7 linked regions of the Canis lupus familiaris genome follow. The protein of the gene in region 3 interacts with the protein of the main gene of each other region in a pairwise test. Links are inferred from orthologs where the notes say so. Each region holds a gene or a part of one and is shown on either strand. Other genes may lie near its edges.

Evidence for each region.
Region 1: the proteins of TFIP11 (region 3) and PPP1R18 interact in binary tests that used the Homo sapiens proteins (3 or more experiments, as listed by UniProt). The link is inferred for Canis lupus familiaris from reciprocal best matches to the Homo sapiens genes TFIP11 and PPP1R18.
Region 2: the proteins of TFIP11 (region 3) and LCA5L interact in binary tests that used the Homo sapiens proteins (3 or more experiments, as listed by UniProt). The two-hybrid records come from large-scale screens. The link is inferred for Canis lupus familiaris from reciprocal best matches to the Homo sapiens genes TFIP11 and LCA5L.
Region 4: the proteins of TFIP11 (region 3) and KIFC3 interact in binary tests that used the Homo sapiens proteins (3 or more experiments, as listed by UniProt). The link is inferred for Canis lupus familiaris from reciprocal best matches to the Homo sapiens genes TFIP11 and KIFC3.
Region 5: the proteins of TFIP11 (region 3) and SAP30BP interact in binary tests that used the Homo sapiens proteins (3 or more experiments, as listed by UniProt). The two-hybrid records come from large-scale screens. The link is inferred for Canis lupus familiaris from reciprocal best matches to the Homo sapiens genes TFIP11 and SAP30BP.
Region 6: the proteins of TFIP11 (region 3) and CARD9 interact in binary tests that used the Homo sapiens proteins (3 or more experiments, as listed by UniProt). The two-hybrid records come from large-scale screens. The link is inferred for Canis lupus familiaris from reciprocal best matches to the Homo sapiens genes TFIP11 and CARD9.
Region 7: the proteins of TFIP11 (region 3) and LMO4 interact in binary tests that used the Homo sapiens proteins (3 or more experiments, as listed by UniProt). The two-hybrid records come from large-scale screens. The link is inferred for Canis lupus familiaris from reciprocal best matches to the Homo sapiens genes TFIP11 and LMO4.

What each region holds. Positions count from the first base shown.
Region 1 is NC_049233.1:619,006-622,560, reverse strand, and holds the end of PPP1R18 (phostensin), read left to right. Parts: intron 1-947; coding exon 948-1,173; intron 1,174-1,808; coding exon of another isoform or gene 1,809-1,828; exon of another isoform or gene 1,829-1,870; coding exon 1,871-1,917; 3' UTR 1,918-2,687; downstream 2,688-3,555.
Region 2 is NC_049252.1:34,041,688-34,044,757, reverse strand, and holds the end of LCA5L (lebercilin-like protein), read left to right. Parts: intron 1-758; coding exon 759-1,471; 3' UTR 1,472-2,366; downstream 2,367-3,070.
Region 3 is NC_049247.1:20,585,162-20,588,415, reverse strand, and holds part of TFIP11 (tuftelin-interacting protein 11), read left to right. Parts: intron 1-48; coding exon 49-576; intron 577-679; coding exon 680-786; intron 787-1,352; coding exon 1,353-1,521; intron 1,522-1,854; coding exon 1,855-2,098; intron 2,099-2,542; coding exon 2,543-2,685; intron 2,686-3,159; coding exon 3,160-3,254. UniProt on the Homo sapiens protein: Involved in pre-mRNA splicing, specifically in spliceosome disassembly during late-stage splicing events. Intron turnover seems to proceed through reactions in two lariat-intron associated complexes termed Intron Large (IL) and Intron Small (IS).
Region 4 is NC_049223.1:57,969,143-57,973,886, forward strand, and holds the start of KIFC3 (kinesin-like protein KIFC3), read left to right. Parts: upstream 1-1,777; 5' UTR 1,778-1,792; coding exon 1,793-1,958; intron 1,959-2,007; exon of another isoform or gene 2,008-2,065; intron 2,066-2,642; exon of another isoform or gene 2,643-2,761; intron 2,762-4,744. UniProt on the Homo sapiens protein: Minus-end microtubule-dependent motor protein. Involved in apically targeted transport. Required for zonula adherens maintenance.
Region 5 is NC_049230.1:5,750,749-5,754,873, forward strand, and holds part of SAP30BP (SAP30-binding protein), read right to left. Parts: intron 2,975-4,125; coding exon 2,883-2,974; intron 2,163-2,882; coding exon 2,102-2,162; intron 1,627-2,101; coding exon 1,575-1,626; intron 688-1,574; coding exon 629-687; intron 1-628. UniProt on the Homo sapiens protein: Plays a role in transcriptional repression by promoting histone deacetylase activity, leading to deacetylation of histone H3.
Region 6 is NC_049230.1:49,116,164-49,120,288, forward strand, and holds the end of CARD9 (caspase recruitment domain-containing protein 9), read left to right. Parts: intron 1-844; coding exon 845-1,036; intron 1,037-1,425; coding exon 1,426-1,467; intron 1,468-1,624; coding exon 1,625-1,670; intron 1,671-2,761; coding exon 2,762-2,838; intron 2,839-3,165; coding exon 3,166-3,242; intron 3,243-3,325; coding exon 3,326-3,425; 3' UTR 3,426-3,521; downstream 3,522-4,125. Other genes in the region: DNLZ (DNL-type zinc finger protein), read left to right, coding at 3,725-3,931. UniProt on the Homo sapiens protein: Adapter protein that plays a key role in innate immune response against fungi by forming signaling complexes downstream of C-type lectin receptors.
Region 7 is NC_049227.1:61,435,554-61,440,468, reverse strand, and holds the start of LMO4 (LIM domain transcription factor LMO4), read left to right. Parts: upstream 1-1,757; 5' UTR 1,758-2,301; intron 2,302-4,377; exon of another isoform or gene 4,378-4,469; intron 4,470-4,824; exon of another isoform or gene 4,825-4,915. UniProt on the Homo sapiens protein: Transcription cofactor. Plays a role in establishing motor neuron identity, in concert with MNX1, acting, at least in part, to disrupt LDB1-LHX3 complexes thereby negatively modulating interneuron genes in motor neurons.

The sequences.
Region 1 (3,555 bases), on a different chromosome or scaffold from region 3:
GAGTAGATGATCTGGACCTTTCCAAGTAGTTCACATGGAATCCTCCTGTTTGTTGTCTTAATCGCTTTGGCTCCCAGAGTTAATCCCACTCTGCCCCTGCCTCCCTGAGCTTCTTAGAAGGGCAAAGGGGAAGGGTAGAAAGGCAGTGAGGACAGCTGGAGCTGGCCTGCTCTGGGGACAGCGTGTTTGTGAAGGATTTTCTGTCCTCTCAGGTCCCCTCTGGCTCTTCGCCTGTCTGTGCATGCATTCTCCACCCCAACCTGTGTTTGCATGGACTTTCCTCTCTGCCCTGCCACCTCCCCAAGCTGGGCCTTGCAGGGACTCAAGGGCCCTTCTCTCCTGTGTGTCAGGGTAGAGTCTTGTTTCCTCTGGGCCTCTCGGTAGGTCTCTTCTCCCCTCCCAGGCCCTAGCCCCAGTTTGTTGTGAGTCCACTCGGGCTCTAGGAGAAGAGTGAGGGGAGCAGGAGGGCACAGTATCCAGGCTGCTGGGTTTCCCAGGCACCCCAGGGGGCCTACGGTGCGGAAACCAATGTGCTTGTCTTTGCTTCTGCCTGGGACTGTGTCCAGTCAGCTATTTCCTGCCAGGTCAAACTTCCCTCCTCTCCGGGAAGCCTTCCTGATTGCCCTCAACGGTGCCTAAGGATTCAGCTCTGATTACAGGAGTATATTTTTTCATTTCTTTTTACCCTCCCACCACCCACAGTCTAAAGAGTAGGAACCCGAGTCCTGTATTGCTCCCCTCTGCCCAGGCAGTGCGGAGTCTGATGTTTTGGAAATGCTATGATAGAAGAGGGAAAATCTGGAATTGGAGGGCCTGTATCAGAAGGAAAACCGGCCCCGCGGCCCCGGGTGGATGCTCCGCTCCGGCTTCCCTCCGCCTTGCACGCGTTCCCCTGGGCGGGCGCCTCCCGGGCTGAACTTCGGCCTCCCCCTTCTCTCCCACCCTAGCTCAAGATCTCCTTCAGCGAGACAGCACTGGAGACCACGTACCAGTACCCCTCGGAGAGCTCGGTGCTGGAGGACTTGGGCCCGGATCCTGAGGCTCCCGGTGCCCCCAGCCCCCCGGCGGCCCAGCCTGACGACGACGACGACGACGACGACGACGACGACGAGGAGCTGCTGCTGCTGCAGCGGGAGCTCCGGGGCGGCCTGCGCACCAAGGCCCTGATCGTGGGTGAGCGGAGGCTCCGCCGGTCCGAGGGCGCCCCCTGGCGTCCAGGGCGGACACTGCGCCCTGGGAGGGAAGGGGCGGCGTGAGTCTGGGCAGGCAGGACCTCCAGCAGGACCTCCGGGCGCACCGCTCTCCTTCACAGATGGGGAAGTGGAAGTGCATGCACAAGGGGTCTCCAGATTTCAGAACCAGGACCCCTTCTGAGCACTCTCGTGTGCTTAAAAACACCGGGTTTGGGTCAGACAGGCCTGCATTTGATTTCCGTCTTGTTTCTTACATGGGGTGTAACCTCCAGGAAATCACCTGACCTCTGGCCTCAGTTTATTAATTATGACATGGGGTTAATAATAACCACCGCCTGGGGTTTACTGAGAAGGTTCAGTAATGTTTACGAGGCACCCTGTAACTATGGCTGGCCATCAAATTACTTAATCTCCTCTGGTGCTACTATGTGATTAAACAGGTTGTAAGAATGCCTGGCACAGGATGCGAGCTAGGTGAACAATGACTGCTGGTACTGTAGGAGCAGGTGCTGGGCATGGAAAACACTGACTTGCTCAGTGTAGAGAGTAAGTGGGGACGGTGGATGGCAGAGGCCCTCACTCACTCTGTAACCATTACTGCCTCCTCTCCCACAGATGAGTCCTGCCGGAGGTGACCCTCCTTCAACAGAGGGTCTGTCTATACCCCCCTTTTCCAGAATTGAAGATCCTGGAGCCCAGAAGATTGAGAACAGAGAGACCCTGAAAATGAGCTTGGCAGTGAGGGGCAACCAACATCTTCCAACCTTCTTTCCTCATCCTGTTTATGGGAGCAGAGCTAGTCACCCAATTTCCACCCTCACCAAAGATCCCTGGTGTGAGTGTGTCAGACATGCTGGTGGCATCCTAGGTGAATTAAGAATGAGCATCACGTCCTGGGGAGGATCACAGGGCTCACTGGGGCTGGGGTGTAGCACCTCCTCCATCTCCACACTCTCCCTTCAGCCTTCCTTGACTCCCCACCACCCCGTGGGGGCTCTGAGGATTTAAGCACTCATCCTGGACAGCCTGCCCCATTCCATTTACAGGCCCCTCTCCTTCGTATTCCTTAGGGCATTGCCCCCTTGCTTATACCTCCTGCCTCCTCCCCTGACCACCAGCCTGGTTTACAAATCCCATTAGCTCCCAGCCCCACCTGCCGAAGTCCCAGGTTTACAAGCACACCTAACTGTTGAGTCCATATGGAACCCCCCCGCCCGCCCTTTGTCTCTTTGGGGGTGTGGCTTCCTCCACTTTTGCTCAGTATTACTGTACCTCAGTTGTCCTCAAGAAGGAGAGCTGGGGATTTTAACCCTGTACCCCCACCTCATTATTTAATTCTGTTCCTTCCAGTGGTTCACAATTTAATTGAATTGCAAGTGGGTGTGGGGTGACTAACAAGGCCCCTCAACCCTTCTCCCCCATTTCTCCTTCCTTATCAACTGCCTGTTTGTTTTTTAAGTTTTCCATAATAAAACGGAGATCTCTCCAACTCTCCTGCTGCTTTTCCTTCTTTAGAAAAAGGTATGGGGTGGGGGAGGCTCTGTGTTCCTCATTCCAAGCCGCTCCCATCTTCCTATTGGCCATGAAGAGGTAGTGGCCACAGCTGCGGCGGTGGGGTGATGGAGATGAAACAGGAACTCAGCATTGACATGAAGAAAGGGCTCTGGGAGAGCCCTGTAGCTGTTGCTTGAAGGAGTGGCAGGAAAAGGACCAGTTTAAGGAAGGACAGAAAGAATCCACTAAACTGGAAGTGCCATTGGGAAGCCTGGGTGGCTCAGCGGTTGAGGGTCTGCCTTCGGCTCAGGTCGTGTGATCCCGGGGTCCTGGAATTGAATCCCACATCAGGCTCCCTGCATGGAGCCTGCTTCTCCCTCTACTTGTGTCTCTGCCTCTCTCTGTGTCTCTCATGAATAAATAAAATCTTTAAAAAAATAAACTGGAAGTGCCACAAGGGCAGACTGTAGTTGGGTTTAATGAAGCATCCCCATACCTCACAAAATTATCCCTAGCACACTTGCAAAATTATTACTAGAATGACTGAACAAACATGAATAGATGAAAAGAGCTAAAATATTGGAAACAGGACATTCTGAGTTGAAGAACTCCAGTATTTAGAAGCAGCTAGCTAGTGTGTAACACTGGCTAATCTAGGGGCTTTTACTCCAAGACTTGGCACCATAAATAATAAATCTAAAATTGCTGCAAAATATAGTGTATGTTTCCTGGAGTGTCTGGGTGGCTTAGTTAAGTGTCAGCTTTTGGCTCAGGTCATGATCCCAGGGTCTGGAGTGGAGCCCCATATCTGGCTCCCTGCTCAGTGGGGAATCTGCTTCTTGCTCTCCCTCTCCCATTGCCCCTTCCC
Region 2 (3,070 bases), on a different chromosome or scaffold from region 3:
GTGCAGTCAGCTGAGCATCTGACTCTTGGTTTTGGCTCAGGTCGTGATCTCAGGGTTGAGAGATCAAGCCCCACGTTGAGCTCCTCGCTCAGCAGGGACTCTGCCTGGGGTCCTCGCTCTCCCTCTGCCCCCCACCCCCGCAACCCCCCCTCATGCAGTCACACCTGCACAATCTCCAGAAAACAGTTAGGGGAGCCAGGGTGACTCCACCGATGAAGCATCTGCCTTTGGCTCAGGTCATGATCCTGGGGTCCTGGGATCGAGCCCCACCATTTTAAAAAAAAATGTTTTTTAAAAGTTAAAAAATTTTTGATAGTCAAATTACCATCCAAGAACAGCTGTACCAATGGACACACCCAATGGGGAACAGAAATTCCACTGTCCCCATATTCTCACTGAATCTGGAAATTATTTGCTGCTTGGATGGGTGAAAACGGTTCTCATTGCTTTACGTGGCACTCCGGCCCCCAGGAGTGACGAACGTCCTCACTACTCAGCACAGGTTAGTTCTTTCACGAGTATCATTTTAGATTTGGTTTCGTAATCCTTACCGACTTGGTATGTTCTGGGGAAGCAGACCGTCCTCAAGCTGGTTCACAGCGCCCTTCCCTGTATTTTAGTGTCGTGTGCATCTGCTGGACGTCTTTCTGTCACGTCCCTGTGCCTGTCGGATGCCAGTAAGTGCGCTCAACAGGCCCGCTTGATATAGGAGCCCGCTCATGTTAAAGATCACTAAATAGACTATTTTCCGCATACAGATTTATCGAAGGAAGAGGAACGTTTGGAAGTAGAACCACCTCTGGAGAATACTGGAAGACCAAGAGAGAAGAAAGATCAAGAGAAGAGACCCGCTTTGGTGAAAGAATGGGAACTGCCACCACCAAGGACTGAAGTAAGTCCTCCCGAGAAGGAGGGCAAGCGGGAAGACGCAGCCCAAGGGAAGTTCACAGGCAGCCTCCAGATAAATGACACGGATGAGACGCCTGATAAAACTGCTGCGGCCAGTATCAAAGCGCCCTTGCGACCGAGAAAGCACTACTCCTTCACGGAAGCCACCGAGAACCTGCATCTCGGGCTCCCGGCCTTGGGCGGGCCGGCGGGCACAGGCGGGCCGCGAGGCAGTCTCAGCGCGGGCAAGCCGCACGGGAGCGCGGGCCCTGGGCCAGAGCACGCGGTGAGCGGGTACGAGCCCTCCTTTGGCAAGTCTTCCCGAACAAAGGCCAAAGACACGTTCAGGGATAAGAAAAGAAGTCTAATGGAGGAACTCTTTGGGTCGGGCTACGTCTTCAAACACGACCAGGCCTGCACGGCTGCCCCTCCACAGCTCGAGGAGACGCCGGAAAGTAAGATGCACCATCTACCCCCCGGCCAGGCCTCCGCCAGCAACGCTTTCAGAGATTCTAAAGTAACTGTGGTAAATTCTATTAAGTCATCTTCACCTCCGGAAGGAAAAAGAAAGATCATTATTTAAATACAGTCAGCATCCTACTACATTCTGATTGGGTATTCTCGTTCTTGCGGGCCTTTAAATCTGATCACGCTAGGGGGTGTGTGTGTGTGTTTCAGTATTTCAATGGACTTTGGATAATTAAGGTTTTATTATAACCTAATTCCAAAAATCCGTTGTGTTATAGCCAATGATGACATTTCAAATACAAAATTCTATCTTTTTTTTTTTCCTACAATGAAAACATGTCCATGATCTTTGGGAAGACTCCTTTCTTCCATGGCTTTAATATCCTGTGGGACCCCACGCACGGTTCGTAAGTCCAAGTCAGTCAGCCAAGATGCACACATCTCGTATACGGAGGAATGTTCACAGCAATCAAATTGTGTTTTAACCAAAAAACACGGAAGCAGCTTTGAAAGGGAACAATATGATCAGAAGACTATTAAAAAAAAAAAAACCCACAGTGTGGTTTTATCAAAATTATTTTTGAGTGTTCGATTCAGCTAAACCACCTTGTGATGACACTCTCCTCGTGTACACCCGAGATCCACTTTTTATTTCTCTTTGTTACATACCTGTCCCATGTCCTTTTTTCTGTTAATCTTGCTATAAAAGAGCATATGGAATAGTGTCCCCTCAAGCGAGCGGCTCCATCCTGAGAGCTTCATTACATATTAGGACGAGATGGGCTGTAGGCCCCACGTTAATCGGTTTACTTACCTTCATCTACTTTTAAGGGCAACTTATTGATAATATGGACCACATTATTTCCAAAGAGCTTTATGGACTGGTGTGCAATATTATCACTTTAAAAAACTAAGAGTTGGGATCCCTGGGTGGCGCAGCGGTTTAGCGCCTGCCTTTGGCCCAGGGCGCGATCCTGGAGATCCGGGATCGAAATCCCACGTCGGGCTCCCGGTGCATGGAGCCTGCTTCTCCCTCTGCCTGTGTCTCTGCCTCTCTCTCTCTCTCACTGTGTGCCTATCATAAATAAATAAAAAAAATTAAAAAAAAAAATAAAAAAAAAAAATAAAAAAAAAAATAAAAAACTAAGAGTGAAATAAAACTTACTAAAGACAGTGAAAGCCATGGTAGGAAAACAGTTGTATTCAAAACCAAAGAGGAGGTAAACATTGCCATAAGCTTTGATCTTTATGAAAACCACTGAGGAGAACAGAAAAGGGGAGAAGGGGAGGGAGGGAGGGGAGTAGGATGTCCCATAGGCTTCTAAGGGGAGACAGGCAAATGCACATCAAATGATATGAATGCCGAGCCGTAAATTCTAGAGAAATTTACTATAAGAATTAGAAATGCTATATGGAATAATATTCCAGTGTTACAAGGTCTACTTGCTTTTTTTTTTTTTAAAGATTATTTATTTACTTATTTATTCATGAGAGACAGAGAGAGGCAGAGACACAGGCAGAGGGAGAAGCAGGCTCCCTGCGGGGAGCCCACGTGGGACTCAATCCCAGGACCCTGGGGTCACTCCCTGAGCTGAAGACAGATGCTCAGCCACTGAGCTACCCAGGTTCCCCATAAATAAGTTTCTGACAAAAATAAGGAGAATAAAAACTCAGCATATGTGACAAAGAACATAAAAGACATACATAAAATCAT
Region 3 (3,254 bases):
GCAGCGATGGCACACACTGACTCGGGCTCCCCCGCCACTTTCTCCCAGGTCATCGACATGACTGGCCGGGAGCAGAAGGTCTACTACAGCTACAGCCAGATCAGCCACAAGCACAATGTCCCTGATGATGGGCTGCCACTGCCGTCCCAGCAGCCACCGCAGCCTGGCAAAGAGGCCAAGGCGCCGGGCTTCGCCCTGCCTGAGCTGGAGCACAACCTGCAGCTGCTCATTGACCTCACAGAGCAGGAGATCATCCAGAGTGACCGGCAGCTGCAGTATGAACGGGACATGGTGGTCAACCTGTCGCACGAGCTGGAGAAGATGTCAGAGGTCCTGGAGCATGAGGAGCGGGTCATTGCCAACCTTAGCAAGGTCCTGGAGATGGTGGAGGAATGTGAGCGGCGCCTGCAGCCCTCCTGCAGCAACCCCCTCACCCTGGATGAGTGTGCCCGCATCTTTGAGACCCTGCAAGACAAGTACTACGAGGAGTACAGGATGTCTGACCGCGTGGACCTGGCTGTGGCCATTGTCTACCCACTCATGAAGGAGTACTTCAAGGAGTGGGACCCGCTGAAGGTGAGTGGCTAGTGAGAGGAGCCGCTGTGCTCCTGCCCTGCAGGTGTGACAGGGTGGTGGGTGCTGGCCCACGGTGCCGCATCACGGCCAGGTCTCTCCCCAGGACTGCGCTTACGGCACCCAGGTCATCTCCAGGTGGAAGACCCTCCTAGAGAACGACCAGCTCTTATCCCACGGCGGGCAGGACCTCTCGGCAGACGCCTTTCACAGGTACTCAGCCTGGGGCTCAGGAGAGAGATGCCGGGGAAGGCAGGGACTGGCCTTCCCACCCTGCGCCTGTCATGTGTCGGCCAGTGTTGTGCACATGCCAGGCTTGCCCTGGGAGTAAGGCTGACAGTGTCGGGCTTCAGAGAGTGGAAGAGGCAGGTGGAGGGTAAGGAAGCGGACGGACGAGGCCAGGGATGGAGGAGAGAGGGGATGCACACCTGTTTGGGTGGTGGGAGTAGTATGAAGCAGAGGTCTATGAAAGGAGGTGACCCACGAGGTGAGCTGTCAAGCTGTGCAGAGAGCTCCCAAAGGAAAGCAAGGCATCCCTGGGGACGGGAGCCCACAGCAACCCTGCCAGGCAGTGAGACCCACGCCCTGAGGTCAAGCAGGTGGCTGGGCAAGCAGGGACGAGTTAGGTGCAGCTCTGGGCACTGGGGACTGGCCTGGTGGTTTGCTGTGCTTGCATTTCCGTGCCTTTTTCTTTCTCGTTCTGGAGAGTGGGTGGCAGTGTACTGTCTGCTTTGAAACCTGTCTGTGCAGTTAGCCTGCCCTCTGCCTTTCTCCCACAGGCTGATATGGGAAGTCTGGATGCCTTTTGTTCGAAATATCGTCACCCAGTGGCAGCCAAGGAACTGTGACCCGATGGTGGACTTTTTGGATAGTTGGGTGCACATTATTCCTGTGTGGATCTTAGATAACATTCTGGACCAGCTCATCTTCCCTAAACTGCAGAAAGAGGTAGGGCCCCCAGGTCATGGGAACAGCTGGCAGCAGTAACGGGCATTTCTCTGCTCCCCCAGTGCTGTCAGAAGGCGTGGAATGAGAATCGGCTGACATGGTTACCGTCCTGTGGGTAATTCCAGCCCTTTTGTTGGCATTTCCCCCAGTTTCCCTACTTAAATGGGGAAGTTATTTTCTTGGTTTCTTCGTTTCGGAGATTCCATGCAGCTGCTGTGGGGATACTAGTTTGGTTGTGCAGAGGCCCGTGGGCCTTGGCCAGGAGAGTGCTAGGCATCCATGCTGTCGACTGCACAGTGCATCTGGAACTGGTTTGTCCCACGCCTCCTGCAGGTGGAAAACTGGAACCCACTGACAGACACCGTGCCCATCCACTCCTGGGTCCACCCGTGGCTGCCCCTTATGCAAGCACGCCTGGAACCACTCTATTCCCCCATCCGCAGCAAGCTTTCCAGTGCCCTGCAGAAGTGGCACCCCAGCGACTCCTCTGCCAAGCTCATCCTCCAGCCTTGGAAAGATGTCTTCACCCCTGGCTCCTGGGAAGCATTCATGGTCAAGAACATAGTGCCCAAACTAGGTAAGGGAATAGAGAAGAGGGTATTGCCCTGGTTTCTGTGGCCATCGGTGAGGATCCATGTTTCTTAAAACATGGCCCTGGGGCTCCATGAAAAATCTGAACACAGGATATTTCTCAATCCAAGAAGTGCCATATTGCTTAGAGGTGGAATATAAACATACCCAGGGTCCCTATGGCATCAACAGCCTCAGACTCCGCCAGCTTCTTGGTTCCTGGTCTGGTTTGGGTTTCTGGTAACATGCTAGGCATTAATGTTCTGAAATTTCTGTGCTATTTGTTTTTAAATATGTATTAGTTATTTCTGGATTATAGAAAGTGGTTTTTAAGAATTGCCATGTCAAGAGTTTAAAATTAACAGATATAAGGTTTAGTCCTGCGTCATCTGATGAGGATTTTGCTATGTGCTTCTGTGCCTTTGCTTTAGAAACCAGGCTTCTTTTGCAGGGATGTGTCTTGGGGAGTTAGTCATTAATCCCCACCAGCAGCACATGGATGCTTTTTACTGGGTCATCGACTGGGAAGGAATGATCTCCGTGTCCAGCCTTGTGGGGCTGCTTGAGAAACACTTCTTCCCCAAGTGGCTTCAGGTATACCCTGCTGTGTTTTTGGAGGGGGTTGGTGGGATGGAGGCAGGGAGGATTCGCTTGCTTTTCTGCCAAGGTCTGCCTGTAGGAGCTTGATCCTTGGACAGCTATCAGGTGACAGTGCTATCACACAGAACAAAAATAAGCAGTAGTCACAGCAACCACCATTTATTGAATAGATGCCACATGCCAGATGCTAAGCACTTGATGTGCGTTCCCTCCGCTTCTGACACCAAATCTTTGTGGGTAGGGGCTGGCATAGCCTTGAGAGGTTCAGGGAGTTTACATTCATGGATGCGTAGCTGTTAAGATGACTTCAGATCCCACACTCTACTAAGTGCCAGACTGTTCAGCTCCTAGAGACTGCTGGTGTCACCAGCTTGAAGGACCCAGGTCAAAACCAATGGCCCCTTGGAAGTTTTGCTCCCATTTGCCACCATTGTGGGTGCAAGTTTCTGATTTCTTTCTTTTTGGCAGGTACTTTGCTCTTGGCTTAGTAACAGCCCAAATTATGAGGAGATCACCAAGTGGTACCTGGGTTGGAAGTCCATGTTCTCAGACCAAGTGCTGGC
Region 4 (4,744 bases), on a different chromosome or scaffold from region 3:
CCCCACAGAGAAGGAAGCATTGGCTTCCTTTCACCCTACCCACCTCTTGGGCCTACTCAGCTCTCTCCTCTGCCCGGCTCCATTAATGTGCTCGCTCCCTTTCAGAGCCTCCAGGACTTTCTTCTAGTTTGACCTCTCCACGGCATTGTTCACTGGGAACTGACCATCCTCTCCTTCCTACTTGCCATCCAGTCAGAGGTGCAGAGGACTCTGCACCTGCCTAGTGTTGTTGCCACCTATGACTGTCCTCCCAACGTTCCTTACCACCCAGAGTGAGCTCTATCCTTGGTTACTTTTGGTGATTATATCCTTGTCTGTGGCATTGGGACCCTCCCCGCTCTGAGTCTCCAGACCTGTTCTTTTCCAAGCTTCAGTTCTTTTCCAAGCGTTCAGGGAACGCTTATTTCAGGGCATTCACCTATCAAGGCATTGCCAGGGGTTTGGTGTGGGTGTTGTTCCAGCTCCAGGCTGGTTGGTATAGGGCTGCACAGATGAATGTGCACGCACACGCACCTGCCATGGAGAGCCATAGAGAGTCGGGGGGATTGGACACTGTTCGAATAGGTAATCTCTACTGTCTGGTGGAAAGCAATCTGCAACCCAGGTAGCACCATTAGGAAGTTCTTGGGTGCCTCAAAGTCCATTTTAAAGCCAAAAGCAAATTCCACATTGCCTCTCTGAGCTGACTTGGCTGCTTCTGTTAATAGCATCACTGTCTGAGTCTGGGACTGTAGCTTGGTACTTAAATGCCCTCACAGCTGCTTTACACATGATAGGTGTTCAATAAAGATGTGTGTAAGGAATACTTAAAGTCTGTTCTCTTCATCTGCTCAGTTCATGAGAAACCTACGCAGCTTGCTTTCTTTCTTTCTTTTTTTAAATATTTGTTTCATTATTTTAGAGAGCACAAGCAAGAGGGGCAGAGGGAGAGGGAAAGAGAATCTCAAGCAGGCTCTGTGCTGAGCATAGGGCCCCATGCGGGGTTTGGTCTCATGACCCTGAGATCATGACACAACCAAGAGTCAGAGGCTTAACCCACCACACGAGGCAGGGGTGTTCTATCCAGGCCGGTGCTCCCCACCCCCAACTTCATTCTCCCATACCACCTGGTGCCTCCCTGCATCCTGTTCTGATTGTGAAGGTTTGTTGAAGTGCTTACCTCCCTCCTGACAGGGAGCTTTGAGGCCCTATCTCTCCTGATCAAAGAGGACCCCTGGCAGGTGCCTGGCACAAAATAGACACTGGATAAATAATTATTAAATGAAGAAGCAATGAATCTTTGTATCTTACTGCCTGCCAAGTTGTAGGCACAGAGTGAAGGCTAGTTGAATAGAATGAGTGGACTTTAAGAGAATTTGATCTATATAAGCCACTGTGTCACTGGCCACAGTCAGGCCCCGTCTGATTAGAGTTGCTGTCGACCTGTGCGTCCTGTGTGTGGGGCTGTGACCTGGCGCATCTTCAGGCTGCCAGGCTTCCAGCCGAGGGGCTGAGATGGGAGGTCTCCGCAGGGTGCAGCTGACACACCGGGTGGTCTCTTCACCCACTTCTGAGCTTCCCTACTTGGGAAAAAGCCCCCTGAAATGGTGAGGGGCTGTGTTGGATCGCGCAAGGCCAAGGATCGCTGCGGGGGGGGGCGGGGGGCTGCCGCTGCGGGTATAGTGACCCTGTTGCAGGCGGCGGGCTCCCTCCGAGCTGCCACCCAGGTGTCGTCGGTCGCCGGCTCAGCCTCGCCTCCCCGTTCTGTCCGCAGGCCGCCCGGCGCCCCGAGGAGGCCGCTGAGCCCCGGGCCATGGTCCCGTCTCGCCGGCCGTGGAACCTGGGAGCCACGCCCTCGCTGCGCGGCCTGTGGAGAGTGGGCCGGGCCCGCGCGCCCGAGCCGGGGATGGCTCGCCCCGCCCCCGCCGGCCCGGCCGCCCGCCCTTTCCCATACACCGGCCCGGGGAGGTTGAGAACTGGTGAGTCCGCATTTTTAAAATGCCTCTTTATTTCCCTTCCTTCCTCCAGATAGCAGCGATGGGGCCGGGCTCTCTCGCAAGTTCCTAGGCTCGGTCAGGGCTGTCAGGTAATTACAGGGTGCCGGCAGCCCGCGGGCCGGCCGAGTGGGAGTCGGGGCGCCAATCTCGCCGGCGCTCCTGCCCGGCGCTCCTGCCCGGCGTCCTGCCCGGCGTCCTGCCCGGCGTCCTGCCCGGTGCTCCTGCCCCGCGACCTGCCCCGCGTCCTGCCCGGTGCTCCTGCCCCGCGACCTGCCCCGCGCTCCTGCCCCGCGTCCTGCCCGGTGCTCCTGCCCCGCGCTCCTGCCCCGCGCTCCTGCCCGGCGTCCTGCCCCGCGCTCCTGCCCGGCGTCCTGCCCCGCGACCTGCCCGGCGTCCTGCCCCGCGACCTGCCCGGCGTCCTGCCCCGCGCTCCTGCCCCGCGCTTCTGCCCCGAGTCCTGCCCCGCGACCTGCCCGGCGTCCCGCCCCGCGCTCCTGCCCGGCGTCCTGCCCCGCGCTCTTGCCCCGCGCTCCTGCCCCGCGCTCCTGCCCGGCGTCCTGCCCCGCGCTCTTGCCCCGCGCTCCTGCCCCGCGCTCCTGCCTGGCGTCCTGCCCCGCGCTCTTGCCCCGCGCTCCTGCCCCGCGCTCCTGCTGGTGGAGAGACGTCCCGGGCGCCGAGTTAGACCCCGGCGCGGCCGCCGAGCGGGGGGCGGGCGGGGGCGCGTCCTTGGTCCCCCGCCCAGCTCGCAGTCTCGCTCCGGTTTGTGCCCGCAGCTGGTAAACAAGGTAGGTGAAGTGGCTGCCCCGGTGCCCCGTGCGGCGCGGACACCTGATCGCGGCGGGTCAGACCGCTGGGGGCGCGAGGAGGAGCCGCGGCGCCGGCAGAGTGTGGGTGCCCTGAGCCGGGTTTCAGGTGCTATGTGGGGCGGCTCCCGCAGGGTGGCCCACAGCAGGTGGGGGCAGTGAAGGAGCCCACCTGGGATGCTGTCAACACCAGCTCTCCTTTCTGGGTCGCGTCCCCTGGTGCCTCACAGGCCAATAAGTGAGCGGCACCTCTGATTTGCCTGTGGGCTGGGTTGTCGTTGGGTCTGGGCAGTTGCCCCACGACTGCCTCCTGAGGTGAGCTTGGGCAAATCTATCTGGAAGTGTGGAGGGAGAGAGGGTCTTCAGTCCAGATGTCATCAGACGCTTGCTGTCTGTTGTTCCTGACCTAGAGAAAGAGGTTTAGATTACCAGCCTGTCTGAGCTAGCAGAGTTCCTCTGGCTATCAGATCCAAGCCCCCCTGGTACACAGAAGGGGAAACTGAGGCCTAGAAAGGGTACACAGCAGACTCCTGTTCCGTCTCCTCTCCCACCACATTTGTGCCACTGGTGGGCACCAGAGTGATACCCTCCAAAGTGTCTCTGCAGGGGACAGTGAGGCTGGGGATGGCACTGGGGGCCTCTGGGAAAAGCATAGGCTTTTGGGTCAGGTAGCCTGAGTCATCTGGAGGGGGATGAAGACGGTCTCTACTCCACATGGTTGTCCTAAGGATTACATATGTAATATGAATGAGTATTACTTTTCTGGTTAAACAAAAAAAACAAGACAAAGAAAAAAAAAACAAGCAGAAGACAAAATATGTTCCCTTGGAAAACTAGAAAAAATAAAAAAATAAAACCCAGAAAAGTATAAAAAAGAAAATAAAAATCACCTATAAGCTTGTTAGTGAACATCTTATGTAGTTCCTTCCGATCTTGTATATGTGGGCATGCATATTGGTCTATTAAATGAGTATCATGAAGATTATATGACCATACAGGCTTATCTGCTTTTAAAATTTAAGACAAAGGTCAAATGAAATCGTGTGAAATGCTAAGCAGAGTGCCTAACAGTGAGTAGGGCTTCAGCCAGCTTGTCACTCCTAGCCCCTCAGCCCCCACCCCGACTCTTGCCTCTGTCTTGGGAGGTATAGGCAGAGGGTGAGTTAGCCCATGGGATTGCAGGACTGGCTCAGTGTGACCCTGGGCACGGTTTTAACCCTCCCCGGTCGTGGTCCTAATGGCCTGCACTTATGGCCAGTTTCTGTGTGCCTGGTGGAGAGTGAGCATTTTAGGTGTGTCATTCCATGTAACCCTCAGCACAGTACTATGAGCTTGGTTCCTTATCCCCATGTTATTGATAAAGGAAACTGAGGAACAGGCAGGGCAGTAAGCACTTGGCCGGCTGCTGGCACTCAGGATACTGTCACACCCCCATGAGGCTGTACTCATTCCCATCCCATGCTACCCTGCAGGCTGTGGTGGGGGTTGAAGTGGGTGCATGGGATGTCCATACCATGATCACCTCTCTCCCCTGTCCAGTGAGGGAGGCAGTGGGTCAGAGGCTCGAGGGGATGCACTTTAGCTGGTGCTGAATATGCTTTTGGAGGCTGCTGGGACCAGGCCACCCAGCATGGCGTTGGTCTTTATGAAGTCAGGGGAGAAATTGCCACCTAGAGGCGGCCTTGGTAATAAAGCCACAGCCCTGGGGTGCTCCTCCTGTGAAGTTTAGTGCAGCCAGGTTGGCATCGGCTTCCCTTTGCTACTCTCTGGAGAGGGAGTTCATGAGCAAGTGTCAGCCCAAAAGCCACTGTGGAGGGTGGGGAACACATGTACCCCAGAAGCTTCCGGTGCCTTCCCAAAGGGAAGCTCGGGGTGGCTTTTGGGAAGAAGGGAGCACAGCTCCTGCCTGGTGCCAGGCCTTCCCTCCGAGTAGGTCAGGCATGTGAGGGCGTGTGAGTCCCTCCT
Region 5 (4,125 bases), on a different chromosome or scaffold from region 3:
CATAGCGCCCTGAGGATGTTTAGTCTCATCGCCAAATTTCTGTTCTCCAAAGATCTAAACCACGCTGCTGGGCAGCCCAAGTGCCTCAGCGGTTTAGTGCCGCCTTCAGCCCAGGGCATGATCCTGGAGACCCAGGATTGAGTCCTACATCAGGCTCCCTGCATGAAGCCTGCTTCTCCCTCTGCCTGTGCCTGTGCTTCTCTCTCTCTCTCTCTGTGTCTCTCATGATTAAATAAAATCTTAAAAAAAATAAAATGCAGAGCTTTTTTAAAAAAAGTAAATCACGCTGCTTGAGAAGAAGTGCTATTCAGACCCTAAAATAAGGGGTCAGCTGGCCACCAGGCATGGGACCTACAAGGAAGCATGGAGGCAGACTGTGCAGATCAGATCTCAGGAGGAAGACCCACTACTCTATCAGGCCAGGGAGGACACTGATGACCATGCCCAGAGCCAGCAGGGCTCCGCAGCTGTAGCAGGCAGCAGAGGGAGGGGGGAGTGCAGCAAACCACAAGACCCCAGGAAACCAAATGGAAGCAACTGAGAGGCACCTTCAAGCTGAAAGTGGGGGGGCGAGGAACGACACTCCACATACCTGCCCCTCCCCCTAGGACATCAGTCCATCACTTACTTTGGTTCGTTCCTTTTTGGCCTTTTCCAATTTGTCCATTTCAATCTTCTGGGCTTTAGCTAACAAAAACAGGAGAAGATGTTAACAAAAGCAGTCCCGGAACAGCTCCCACGTGAAAGGCCACCTGAAGCCGAGGGACCCCACACCAGCACTTGCTGCCTCCCCTGGGCTTTTGCTCAGTGTGTGCGCTAGCCTCTGGGCCACTGGGCTCACTGTCCTTTTGTGATGGACAAACGGAAGTGCCCGCCCCTGGCCAGCAGAGAGCACAGGCCTCACACAGAAAGGCCCAGGCGCTGGGGCCTTGTCTTGGAGGGGCCAGTTGCTCCCGAGCACTGGCTGTCACCATGTGGGGATGCAGGCCCTGTGTGGATGACCTGCCCAGTGACCAAGAGAAGCCGAGATTACAGATTTGAGGTAAAACGTTGGCAACTGATTCAAGTTAGAGCAAGATAAAATGTGTGTGGGCCAAACAAAACACACCTACAGGCCAGATCTGGTCTGTGGGCTGCTGGGTTAAGGTCTGCCATCGGAGAGCTTGGACTCCTTGAAATTCCTCCCAGTTCTCCCTACGAGGACCTCTGAGGAAATGCTTTCTCGCTGGCTTCAGAATATGCAGTCCCCTTGCCTGGGACACTCTTTGCATCTGCCTGGCTGGCCTCTGGGCACCTTCGAACCTCAGCTCAAACGTGACTTTCTCAGCAAGACTGTCCCCCTCCTTCCGCAGGTTAGCTGGCCCAGCCTGCACCCCCCACCACAACACCCCTCATTACTAGGACTATTCCTTCTCTGCCTTCTGTGCCAGGTCATAAGCCTCCTAAGTCGCAGTGGGTCTATCTCATTCAAGACCGTATACCCACTCCCTTGGAAATGCCCTGACACAGAGGAGACCCTGATATACCTGTTGGCTGACAGCAGACAGGAGGAGAGACAGATAAGGGCCACCTACCTAAGGCCTCATAGTAGGAGTCCTCAGACCAACCGTGGGGGTCAAACATATCCTGGAAAAGTAAGAGTTAATGTTGTAGCCAGCCAGGGTCGTTGAATGACAAATGGCTTAGAAACCCACATCCCTTCTCCCCAAGTCTTCCCATGGATTTTCCTGGCCTGGAGGCTCTTGCCTTAAGGGCATGAGGGCTCAGCTGTTATCCCTGGTCTCTAGCGAAGGGGGTGGCCGATTTGCTCTTGGGAGTCACAGAGGAAGTGATACCTCTCTGTGGGCTGTGCTTTAGGAGCACAGTGATGCACACTCATGTCCTAACCAATCAGGGGCCTGGGGCCAGGTCTGTCGCTGCGATCTCTCTCCTGGACTATTTCAGAGCATTAGGGACTCAAATGAGAGAGCTGGGGGCTGTGCTCTTCAGCCAGTGCTACTGTTACATGGGCCTTTCAGTGGCTCCAGGCTGAATCCAGCAGAATGAACACAGGGCCCTGGGCATCCTCCCTCAGCCCTCAGCCTCTGCATGCAGGACATACCTTTGGATAGTTGGTGCCCAGCTCATCAATTGCACAGAACTGGATCAGCTTCTCGTAGATGCTGAAAGAACAATACCAGAAGGCACTGTGCAGGCTCTAGTACCATGCCTTGTGTGGCAGCAGACTGAGAGAGATCAGAACCGTCTAGTTCTTAGGCTCAGAAGAACCATTTAAACCCAGCTAAACTGTTGCAAGTAAGCTTCCTAATAAAAGGAGAAATGTCCACAGGCATTAAGTCATTCCAAGTCCTTGCCACTTCCAGCAAGATGGATCGTTAGCCAGGAGCCAGGACTGGTATGGTGTTTTTTGGTCTTATCCAGACATCTGACATATGACCCACATCTGGCTGCGTGGCTGGGTCGGGGCCCTGATGCCACCAGACCAAACTGTTTACAGGTGTGGCACTTGCTCAGACCCTGGAGGGAGTAAGACCCAGACACAGCACTGTTCCTAAAACTTGTCACCTGCACGCAGAATCAGTGACAGTTTGGCGGGGAAAGAGGAACCCTCAGGGACTGCCTAGTCCAATTCCCTCACTCTAGAGATGAGATGGAGGCCTTGGGAGGGGCAGAGTGAGGAGGAGACCCCAGCCAGGCCTCTTCCATCCTAGCTCTGGCCTCACGGCCTCCACTCTTCATCCCGGTTTCTGTGTCACTGTAGTTGGGGTGATGGCCCCTTTGGGCACAGGTTACATTGTAGCTGCCACCTCCATGGGGGGTATTCTAGTCCCTAGTCCAATACTGGTGACTCAACTGACCCTGCAGACTCATGGGAAACTCACCTGGGGTTCCGAAATTCTTTCTTTCTTTGAATAATATAGTTCATATCCATTCCTTCCTTTATCTTCCGTTCATAAAGCTTCTGGATCTTGTCCTGCGGAAGAGAAACAGAAGGGCACCTATGACACCACCCTACTCACTGGCAATCCCAGTCTGTGGGCACATATGCTGGGTGGATGCCTGGGCACAGAAGACCCACAGAGCCACGTGAAGCCCTACTCCAGCCATGCTGTCTTTCTCCACCCAGCCTCTGACCAGCGCCAAGCACAAATAAGATAAATGGAGACCAATTTGTTTTTTGTTTTGCTTTCTCCTGACTCCCTCTGGATGGCTGGCAGCGGGGGCAGTAAAACGTCAAGGCAGAGAAACCATGGGGAAGACCATGGATGAAACTCCCCCTCAATTGGCTCCTGAATCATCCAAAGAGGATTTAGGCAAAGCTTTGAGGGGGAATGGAAGGGCTCAATACTGGTTTAAGTTTAACATGGGGTTAGGTCCTCAGTGGGAGACCTGGGAAGGGTAGGTCTTTTCAGAGAAAGGAAGGAGTAGAATTTTTTGGATTTGGCCTCACAAACTTCCTACAGGGTCCTTTGTAGGGAGGCTCATAGATGGCCAATCCCCATGACTTTATTAAGAGGCACTGTGGGGGGTCAAGAGCCCATCTCATTAAACCTCCCCCCACCCCAACCGCAGATCCCTGCTCTGGCTTTTTTTTCTTTTAAAGACTTCAGGCTCCATGCCAGGAGCCAGATGCAGGACTTGATACTGGGACTTGATTGCGCCCTGGGTCAAAGGCAGGCGCCAAACTGCTGAGCCACCCAGGGATCCCCTGGTTTGGCTTTTGATGGGCAAGAGGAGAATCACCTGGCAGGAGCCCGGCCAGTCCCACAGGTTTCTCAAGGCCCACAGAGATGAAATGGGCAGAAGATGGCATCCATACCACCCAGCACAGAAAGAGGCTGCAGAAACCTGAGTCTTGGGGCAGAGCCGCTTCTGAGGAGGAGCAGTCTTACCCAGCAAGGCTGGGGCTGGCCCAGGGCAAGGTTCTCTCTGCAGCCTCCCCCACTAGTGGCGGCTAAATGCACAAACTCTCCAGAAGGAAAACACTTGGGTCACTCTTCACCTGCAAGAGGAGGTGGGCAGGGCTGGAAATCCTGTGTAACGCCCTTTGAGGAACATCAGGAGAGGTGATCCACTCCCTTTGTCAGAAGGCCGAATCTTTCTGCAGAGACTGGCCAGAGGAAG
Region 6 (4,125 bases), on a different chromosome or scaffold from region 3:
CACTCTGGAGGGACTGGAAGCCTGCTCAGAGCCTCTAGCCTTGCAGTTACCCATCTGAATGCCTCTGGTGGGGATGACGGTGTGCAGAGAAAGCACGGTGCTAGGGTCGTGGTGCCAGGGTGTGGTGCCTGGTCCCTGTTGCCAGGGAGCTGCCTGGAGGCCACAGGCAGGGAAGAGCAGGGAAGCAGTGCTCCCACCTTCCCTGGGGGAGGCAGAAGAAGGGAGGGTGCTGTGCCACCAAAGGCAGGCTGCCAGCCAGGGATGCTGGGGCCCAGCAGCCCAGGTGAACGGGTAGGCTTCTCTTCGGGTGTCCCTGGTGGGCAACAGGAAAGGAAGGCAATTCTCAGTGATTCCTCAAGTTCTGGCCATTGAGGGCCGAGGGCTCTAGGGCTGGGTTGGCCTCCAGGCAGGGGCCGGCTGCTTGCAGCTGCCACCCTGCTCCAGGCCTGGGCACGTAGGCAGCTGGCTGACTCCGGCTATGGGTCAGAGCTGCGTCAGGTGTGCTCTGGTCAGTGTGCCGTGTCCCCCAGAGGGACAGCCGTGATGAAGGATGTAACACAGCTGCCAACAGCCATATTCCTGATCCCACCGCTAAGTGCCGTGGAGGGTAGAAGCACGGGCTGGATGTGCGGTGGGGTGGAGGGCTCGGAGATCAGAGCTGGAGGTTTCATCTCCACCTCCCATTGGAAGCTGTTATTACTACACAAACCCTCAAGCACTACACAGGCAGAGGGAGAAGCAGACTCCCTGCAGGAAGCTCTCAACTGTTGTGCTGAGAGGCGGGGGTGGTCCTGGGGGTCTCCAGCAACCACCCAGCCCACCCTGAGCCATCCTGTCCACACAGGCCATTGCCACACGGGAGGAGCTGCATGCACAGCACTCGCGGAGCCTGCAGGAGAAGGACACGTTGCGGAAGCAGGTCCGGGAGCTGGCAGAGAAGGCAGACGAGCTGCAGCTGCAACTGTTCCAGCGCGAGGGCCAGCTGCTAGCTCTGGAGGGCAGGCTCAAGCGGCAGCAGCTGGACATGCTCGTGCTGGTGGGCCTCCCAAGGGCTGTGGGCCTTTGTAGCGCCCGCTGGTCAGAGATGCAGCCACAGTAGAACACAGGATAGGCCCTCAGATGCCAGCGTGTCCCCGAGACACCAGAGCCCAGAGGCAGGGACGCTGGTCAGCCCAGGGCCAGGCCTGGCTTGGAGATTGCTCCACGGGGGGGCCTGGGCAGGTCCCAAGCCTTTCCCAGGCCCCCCTCTCCTTCTGGGGAGCCTGGGGGTGTGGCACATCTCAGGGCCTGGCAGGCCACTTTGGGTGTCATGAGGAGGAGGGAGGGGTGTTCTGGCCTGGGACCCCTCGCTGTGCCCCACCTTATGCCGACCCTGGGGGTGGCTGGGTTTCCTGTTTGCTGACTGACTCCTCTCTGTGACCACAGAGCTCTGACCTGGATGACAGCTCACCCAGGAACTCTCAGGAGGTGAGTACGCCCCCCAGGGTGGGCTCCAGGCCACAGTCTCTGCCAGACCACTGTCCCCCCAGTCCCCTTTGGGAGCTGGGCCCCAGCTGGCCCGCCTCCTGGTCCTTGGAGCAAGGACTTCCTGCCAGGTCGTTGATGCCCGTTTCTCTCCCGGAAGCTCTCGCTCCCCCTGGACCTGGAAGCCGTCCAGCTCTCGGACAAAGGTGAGGAGCAGAGCAGCTTTTCAGGGACGAGATAGCCGAGGCCTCCTTGTTCCTGTACTTGGACTGGGCATAGCCCTGTCCCATGGATCTCTCACAACCCCACTTTACAGATGGGGACATTGAGGCTTGGAGAGAGACAAGGAGCCCTCAGGCTCCCCAATGAACAAACAAGCTAGGTGTGTGGGGCCTGTGCCCCAGCTCTGATGCTGAGAGCCCACCCTGGGCTCAGGAATACAGGGCTGAGGCATCCTGCTCTCCCTGAGCTTCCTCTTGGGCAGGGGGCAGGGGAAGTCCAACAGTGTCGGAGGTACAACGAGGGGAAAGCAGGGCTGTCTCAGGGCCAGGCACAGAGGTGGCAGGAACATGGCCTGGGGGGTGCTGAGGGGTGACAAGGGATCGAAGGGCTCATTCTGAAGGTGGCATGGAAAGCCAGACAGTCCTCCTCTGTGTCAGGCCTGCTGCCAGCCTCCAAAGGAAGCAAAAGAGGAACAGCCAGTGCAGAGGCAGGGGGCTGAGCTTCAGGCTACAGAGCCCCAACGTGGGGACAAGCAGGCAGGACCCCTCAGGCAATGAGTGGTAGGGGAAGGCCCTGGGAGCCCCAACCCAGGGGTGGCATGGCCCCTTGAAGGAATTGGGGCAGGCTTCAGGGTCGGAGGCTGAGGAAGGGAAGGTGCTAGCCCCCTATGATGTCAGTGGAGACTGGATGTCCAGCCCCTCTCTTGGCCAGCTTAGGGGAGCCAACCCATCAGAGCACCTTCTGTCTGAGGGCCCTGAGCCCTGGGCCTGTCCAGGCTCTGGCAAATTCTAGGGAGCTGGCAGCTTGGAACGTTCTGCTGCCAACTGCTGCAGGGCCCCAGCCCCCACCCAGGAGCTGAGTTGGATGGTGGGGCAGTGCCTGGTGGGCTTCTGGCAGCCTCTGGCTGCCTAGGGGGAGTCCCTGACCCCAGTCCCCTTTTAGGGTTCAAGTAAGGACCCAGGGGATGTTGCAGGACTGGCCCCAGCTTCAGGGGAGGGGCGGTGGCCAGGGTTGGCCATGCTAAGTGTGGTCCCTGCAGCTGGGGAGGACTCACAGGCCCAACTCTCCATTCTAGGAGGCCTGGCCAACAAGGACAGCCCACAGCAATCGTTTGTGGCCCTGCAGGAGGAGCAGCTTCCACTGACCACCAACGTAAGGCTTCCCTGGGGTCCCCACTGCCCTAGGCACCCCTGACACAGGCCTCGGGGTGACTGAGCCCAGGAAGGGGGTCTGTGCAGCCTGGATGCCTGGGGATGAAGGCAAGGGTCTCTGCCATTGGCTCCTGGGGGGCATTGTTTGGAACAAGGAGCCTAGTGCCCCTTGTTGCACGGAGCTGCCTGCAGAGTGGGGCCAGGGCGGGGCAGCGGCGGAAGGCCAGTCCTCCGTGCGGGGGCGCTGCGCTCAGGGCACCCTAGGAGCCGGCTGTGGGTCCGGGTCCGCCCTCCGCCCCCCGGAGCCTGAGCCTCGCTCCTCCCCCAGGGCGCAGGCCTGAGCGGCGGGGAGCCCCCAGAGAAGGAGCGGAGACGCCTCAAGGAGAGCTTCGAGAACTACCGCAGGTGCGGCCCCGGGCCGGGCGGGCGGGGCAGGGGGCGGGCTGTCCGGGGTGGGCGGCCCCGCGGACACGCGCTCGCCCCTGCAGGAAGCGCGCCCTCCGGAAGATGCAGCACTGCTCGAGGCAGGGCGAGGTGGACTGGGAGAACACCACGGGCAGCGACAACACGGACACCGAGGGCTCCTAGCCGGCCCTGGCGCGCCGGCGGGCGTGCTCGGTGTGCGCGGGGCGGACGCGGGCAGCAGTGTCAGAAATGCATAATAAACCACCGCGGTCCCGCCACCGCCGCCTCCGCTGACTTCGCTCCCATGTGCACCCCCGGCCGCGCGCGCACCTCCCGCCTCCAGGGGGCAGCAGAACACAGCCGGCCAGTCGGCGGACCGCAGCCGGAAAGGGCCGATTACGTTCCGTGCCCGCTTCCAAGATGGCGGCGGGGCGGCTTCGGCGGCGCGGGGCGGGGCGGCGCGGCCGAGGTCGGAGGGCGGGATGCTGCGGGCTGCGCTGAGCCGCGTGCCGCCGCTACTGAGCCGCGTGCGCCCCCGGGAACCCGCCCTGAGGTGGCTGTGGGGACGCAGGGGCGGCCCGGAGGCCGCGGGGAGAAGGCGGGCCGGGGCGGGGCTCTGGGGCTGGCGGTGCTTCAGCTCGGAGCCGGCGCCCGGGGCCGCACATTACCAGCTTGTCTACACTTGTAAGGTGAGCGCGCAACGGGTGCGAAGCTGGTTCCGCATTCGGGTTGGCCGGCGCGGCGGGCAGCGGTGCCGCGTGCGCTGACAGTATGGAGGGGTGGGGCTGCCCGGGGGCGGGGCTTTTCCGGGAGAGGAGTGGGGCTATGGCTGGGGGCGGGGCCTTTCCGGGAGAGGGTGGGGCTATGGCTGGGGGGCGGGGCC
Region 7 (4,915 bases), on a different chromosome or scaffold from region 3:
AAGTCATTTTGGGGGGGGGGGGGGCGGTAAATGTTTCTCATAAGGTGCACAAAGCGACTTGATCATAAAAATGCAATTTTAAACACCAATCAATGAAAGTAAGCCGTTTAATTTTGAGGTGCAAGGAATATAAAGAAATGACTATTCTAATTGGTGTTTAAAATGTCCTCTGCTTGATGTTCCAGGCAATGATGACTGTTTCTTTTGCAGCCTTAATTTTGATGGTTTGAAGGACAGAAATCCCCCCAACAGACACTAAAACCATAGATGTTTAACAACTACATTGTCTAAGCCAGACTCTTCTGCAGGTCCCTTACCTCAATCCAGCAGTACTGTATGTAATACAATATGAAAACTCGTCCCACAAGGCTGGTTTTAACTTAATGATACTTAGCAGAAGGGCTTTGCACTTTCATGATAATTTCCACCAGAAAAATCTCTCTGGAACTTACTAATAATAATCAGACCTAATATTAGCCTCAGATCAGAGATTTATTAAACCTATTTGGCAGAGCAGATAAAGTTGAATGACTAGGTACTCAAGCATCTAGGCTGAGCTCGGGGCCCTGGAAAAAGACTCTCAGGCTAGCAGCACCCTAAAAGCATTCCTCAACAGTTAAATTTATACTAGACGTGACCTTTCTTCCTCCCCAGAGGCTGTGGGATGGTGAATGTTGCCATTCCTTGTTGCTGTCTGGGGGGGGAGGGGGGGGGGGACGGGGGGCTTGAGGAATCGGGCCTCTCCTCCTGCACAGCAGGGGTGGATGGAGGCCGAGCCCTCCTCCCTGAAGTTCCCCTGGACCCCCAAAGTCCGGGCTGTGAGCTCTTCAGCTCCGACTTCGGACGATCCCCTACGAGACGCCCACGGGGCTCTCGGCCGGCGCTCGGGCCCACGCGGGGGACCGGGGCCGGGCGGCCAAGTCCTGCAAGACCTGCGGACTCGGTCCCCACCTCCTCGCTCGCTCAACTTCCCACTAAGGGCTCATCCGTCTCCAACGCCCGCGAATTAAAGGCAGAAAAACAAAACCTCTTCTGCGTGCGAGCGAAGCCCCCCGCCCGGAGGTTTCGGGGAGACTCTTCCTCCCCAACAGGAGGGGACCCATTTTTGAGCAAGACGAGAAGTTTCCTGCGGGGCTCGCGCGGGCGCGCGGGGGGGGGGTCCCCGAGGGGCGCGCGGGTGCGGGTCCCCGCGATCGCCGGCGCGGGCAGGAGCGGCGCCCCCGGCCGCTCCATCCTGCCCCCCGCGGGAGGGGGTTGGGGTCCCGCCGGGGGTCCCGCGAGGGTCCCCGGGGCTCGGCCGCCCACCTGCCCCCGGCCGGGCCGTCTCCGCCCGCCGCCTCCCCCGCTCCCCCGCCCGCGGAGTCTCGTTCCAGTCCTCCCTTTGTCCTGCCCCGGATTGGCAGGTTTTATTATTCCGCCTGAACAACCCGGCCGCCCAGTGGCTGAGGGTCGCTGACGTCGGCGGCAGAGCCGGGGAGTAGTTGGGATTCGGCTCTGTCAGTAACACATGTGTAAGCGCCGCGCAGGGAGCGAGCGAGCCGGCTAGAGGCCAGCGCCGCCGCCGCCGCCGCCTCCTCCGAGCCGGGCGGCCGCCGCAGCAGCAGCAGCCCGGGCAGCGGCGCAGGCTCCAGCGCGCCGGGCCCGGCCGGCCGCAGCTCCCCGGCTCCCGGCCTCCGCGCCGGCCGCCGCCGCTCCGGGGCTCTGGTGCCCGCGGCCGCTCCCCGGCTGGAGGGGCAGGAAGCGCGGCCGAGCGCCCGCCGCCGGCCCCGAGCGAGCGAGCGGGCGAGCGAGCGGGCGGGCGGGCGCGCGGGAGGGAGGAAGGCGGAGGAGGAGGAGGAGGAGGAGGAGCGGGAGGCGCGCGGGCGGGGGCGGGGGCATATACAAAGTGAAGCCACATTGCCAAACTTGCAGCAGCGATTGCAGCAGTTGCTGCCGCTGCGCCGCGCCTGAAGCCGCGCCGCGCGGGCCGCGGGCTCCTGCAGCTGCTCGCGCGGAGCCGGAGCCGGAGGCGGAGGCGGAGGACGACGCGGAGGACTCAGCCTGACACTCCAGCTCCCGGCCGCCTGCCGCTTACGGCGGGGCCCCCCGACCCAGCCTCAGGGCGACGCGTTTAAAAAAAAAAAAAAAAAAAAAAAAAAAAAGCAGCCCTTAGCCCCCTCCTCCCCTTTCCTGCTTCTGCGAGAACATCCCCCCTCCCTCCAGCTCCGCCAGCCAAGGCGCCCCTTCCTTGGAAGCCGAGCGGCTTCGCTCGCTTTTCGCCGCCGCCGCCTCTCGCAGTATTGCAATATAGGGGAAAAGCAGGTAAGGGGACGGCTGGGGAGCCGCGGGCGAGGGGGGGCAGAGGGAGGAGGGGGCCGATGTGGGCCAGGGCTGTTTTCTTTGGCTTCCTTCCCTTGACCGTCCCAAATTGCAAGTAAACAATACGTCGGCTTGGATAATGCGCGAGTCTGAAACTACCGAGGCCGGCCTGCGAGCTAGCACGGAGGGCAGCCGGCCCCGGGCCGCCAGCTTTGTAGCGGTTCCTGCTTACAAAAGGGTTCTTCTTGGAGACGGGGCTGCTGGGGACCTGGGAGGGTGGGGAGGGGTGTGTGTGCGTGTGTGCGTGTGTGTGTGTGTGTGTGTGTGTGTGTGTGTGGTAGTGGGGGGGTATTTTCAGTTCCTAAGGGAAAGGCCGGAGGTGCTTAAATGAGGGTTTAAGTATGAGAAGTAGTGTGGGGGAAATAGTCACGACCCCCCCCCCCAGCCCCCCAGTAAACACTATTTTTGAAACAGTGGCAGAAAGGATCTAAGTGAGCAGGATTCAGTATTGCTGGTTCTTTTCAAAAATTCCTCTTGGCTTATAAGTCTTTTGTTCCAATCCAGGAGAAATCCGGTGAATCACCTAATTAAAATCAAGACATGAATTAAGCATCCATTTTTGTACTACAAATTGCCAGCGCTACGTTTGTCCCTCCCCTGGTCTCCATTAAAAAACACCAGAGACGTTGTTAAAGGGGGGCAGATTTTGCCTCTAGCTGCCAGTTCTGCTTTCTATTTCACTGACTATCCCAGGACCTAAATTGCTTGGCTATGTAATTACTAGAGTATAAGCCTATTTAACTTAAAAGCTTTCTTTTTTTTTTTTTTTTTTTTTTCCAACTCTAAATGAAACTTGATGAGGGCCCGTCCTTAGTTATCAGGGGAGTCAGTTTCTGGTCAGTCCTCTTGATTCATCTCTTTTAGATTTAATCAGCATTAAGGTATTGCTTGTCCTTAAGAGCTTTAGCTAATGGGGTTACTGGATGCTTTTCTCAGTGTAATGTTTCCTTTTCGAAAAAAATATACATATATATTTACCTCTCACCAAAGATGGGGGCGGGGAAGAGCTTGGAATCTCCTCCCTCCCTCTCCCCTTTTAAAAAGGAATTCGGAGCGATTAAAACGTTGGGGGAAACAGTTTAAAGACCTCGGGCAGGAAATGCAGATTCATTTGGGTTAGGGCTGAAATTGTAACAAAAAGCAATTCCTCGAGTAAATGCATCAGATAAATCAATTTACATAAAGGTATGATGCATTCGGATAAATGCAATGCTAATGGGTTTTAGAGTGGTCCTGTTTCCAAAGTCTCAGGGTTTTGTTACAGCTTAATTGGTGCAGTTCTTATTCTGGTTTATTGTGCGGTCACTGGACACACGTTCCGGGACTCTTTCGGAGGAAATGTGTTTAAAATCGGCCTATTTAAGGAACCCGAGTCCTTGTTTCGTTCCCTTCCCCTGGTTGTTTTTTTTTTTTTTTTTTTTTTTTTTTTTTGCAGCAGCCAAGTTGGGCCGGGGACAGGCAAAGTTCGCCCTCTCCCTTCTGAGGTATCAGCTGAATGTCTTGAGCAGATAGCCGGGAGCCTCGGGGGGAGCCTCCACTCTCGGCTTACAGAGGACAAAGACAAAACAGGCTGCTTAATTGGCAGTAAATAACTTGATCTTTTTATAGAATAAGTGACTGGAGGAACACTAGGACTTTATTGGACTCAGGATTGGAGGCAACAAATTAATCGGTTTAGGCTAAGCTTTATAAATTGATTCCTATATTATACCCCAGTTGCTTCTCGTGACATTCATTAGAAAGAGTGGGGAATTTTTTTAAAAGCAGTTTTTGGTGACAGCAGGACTGGCTCGAATATAACTTGTGCATCCCTTAATAGTGCCTTCTCGCATATTATCTGTAACGTCGCCCCCCCCCCCCCCCCACACACACACACTCCCCCCCCTTTGGAGGAACAAAGCTTTAGCATTTAAATTGCTGATCAAGGGCAGATTAGTGAGACCAAAGTGGAGAGTGTTTGTATAGGAAGTTAACAGGCATCCTAAAGTTCAATGATCTATTATTCTTGCCTGTGTCCTGAAAACCCAGAGAAAACACTCATTGATCTTCAAAATGAAATGAGATTTGGAACAATAATGGGAGATGGCGGTCACCACAATGGCATGTGAAAGGTGCTGTTTAAAATACGAAAAACCAGTTTCGCAACTTTACACACCGCACCCCCTCCCTCGCGTCCCCTGCCTCCCCTCCCACCACCTCGCTCTCCCTCTCCCTCTCCCTCTCCCCTCCGCCGGTCCCTCCCTCCCTCCCTCCCTCCCTTCCAGAAAACCGAACTCCTTCCAACTTGTGAACTGCAGCTGCACTTCCCAGGGCAGAGCTCGGGAGGGAACGTGGCTCGGGCGGGGGCCGCCTCCCCGCTCCCCTCGGCTGGCGCTCGGGGCTCGGCGGGGGCCGGGGAGGGGCCGGGCGCGGCGGTGGGTGGGTTTGACCCTCATTTGCTGGAGGCGGGCGGCGGGGGCGGGGGCGGGGGCGGGGGGAGGCGCCGCGAGGGGTGGAGCGCGCCGCCGAGCCTCGCTCGCGGAGTTTTGACAGTCCCCGAGCTGGAATTGTCAGCGGC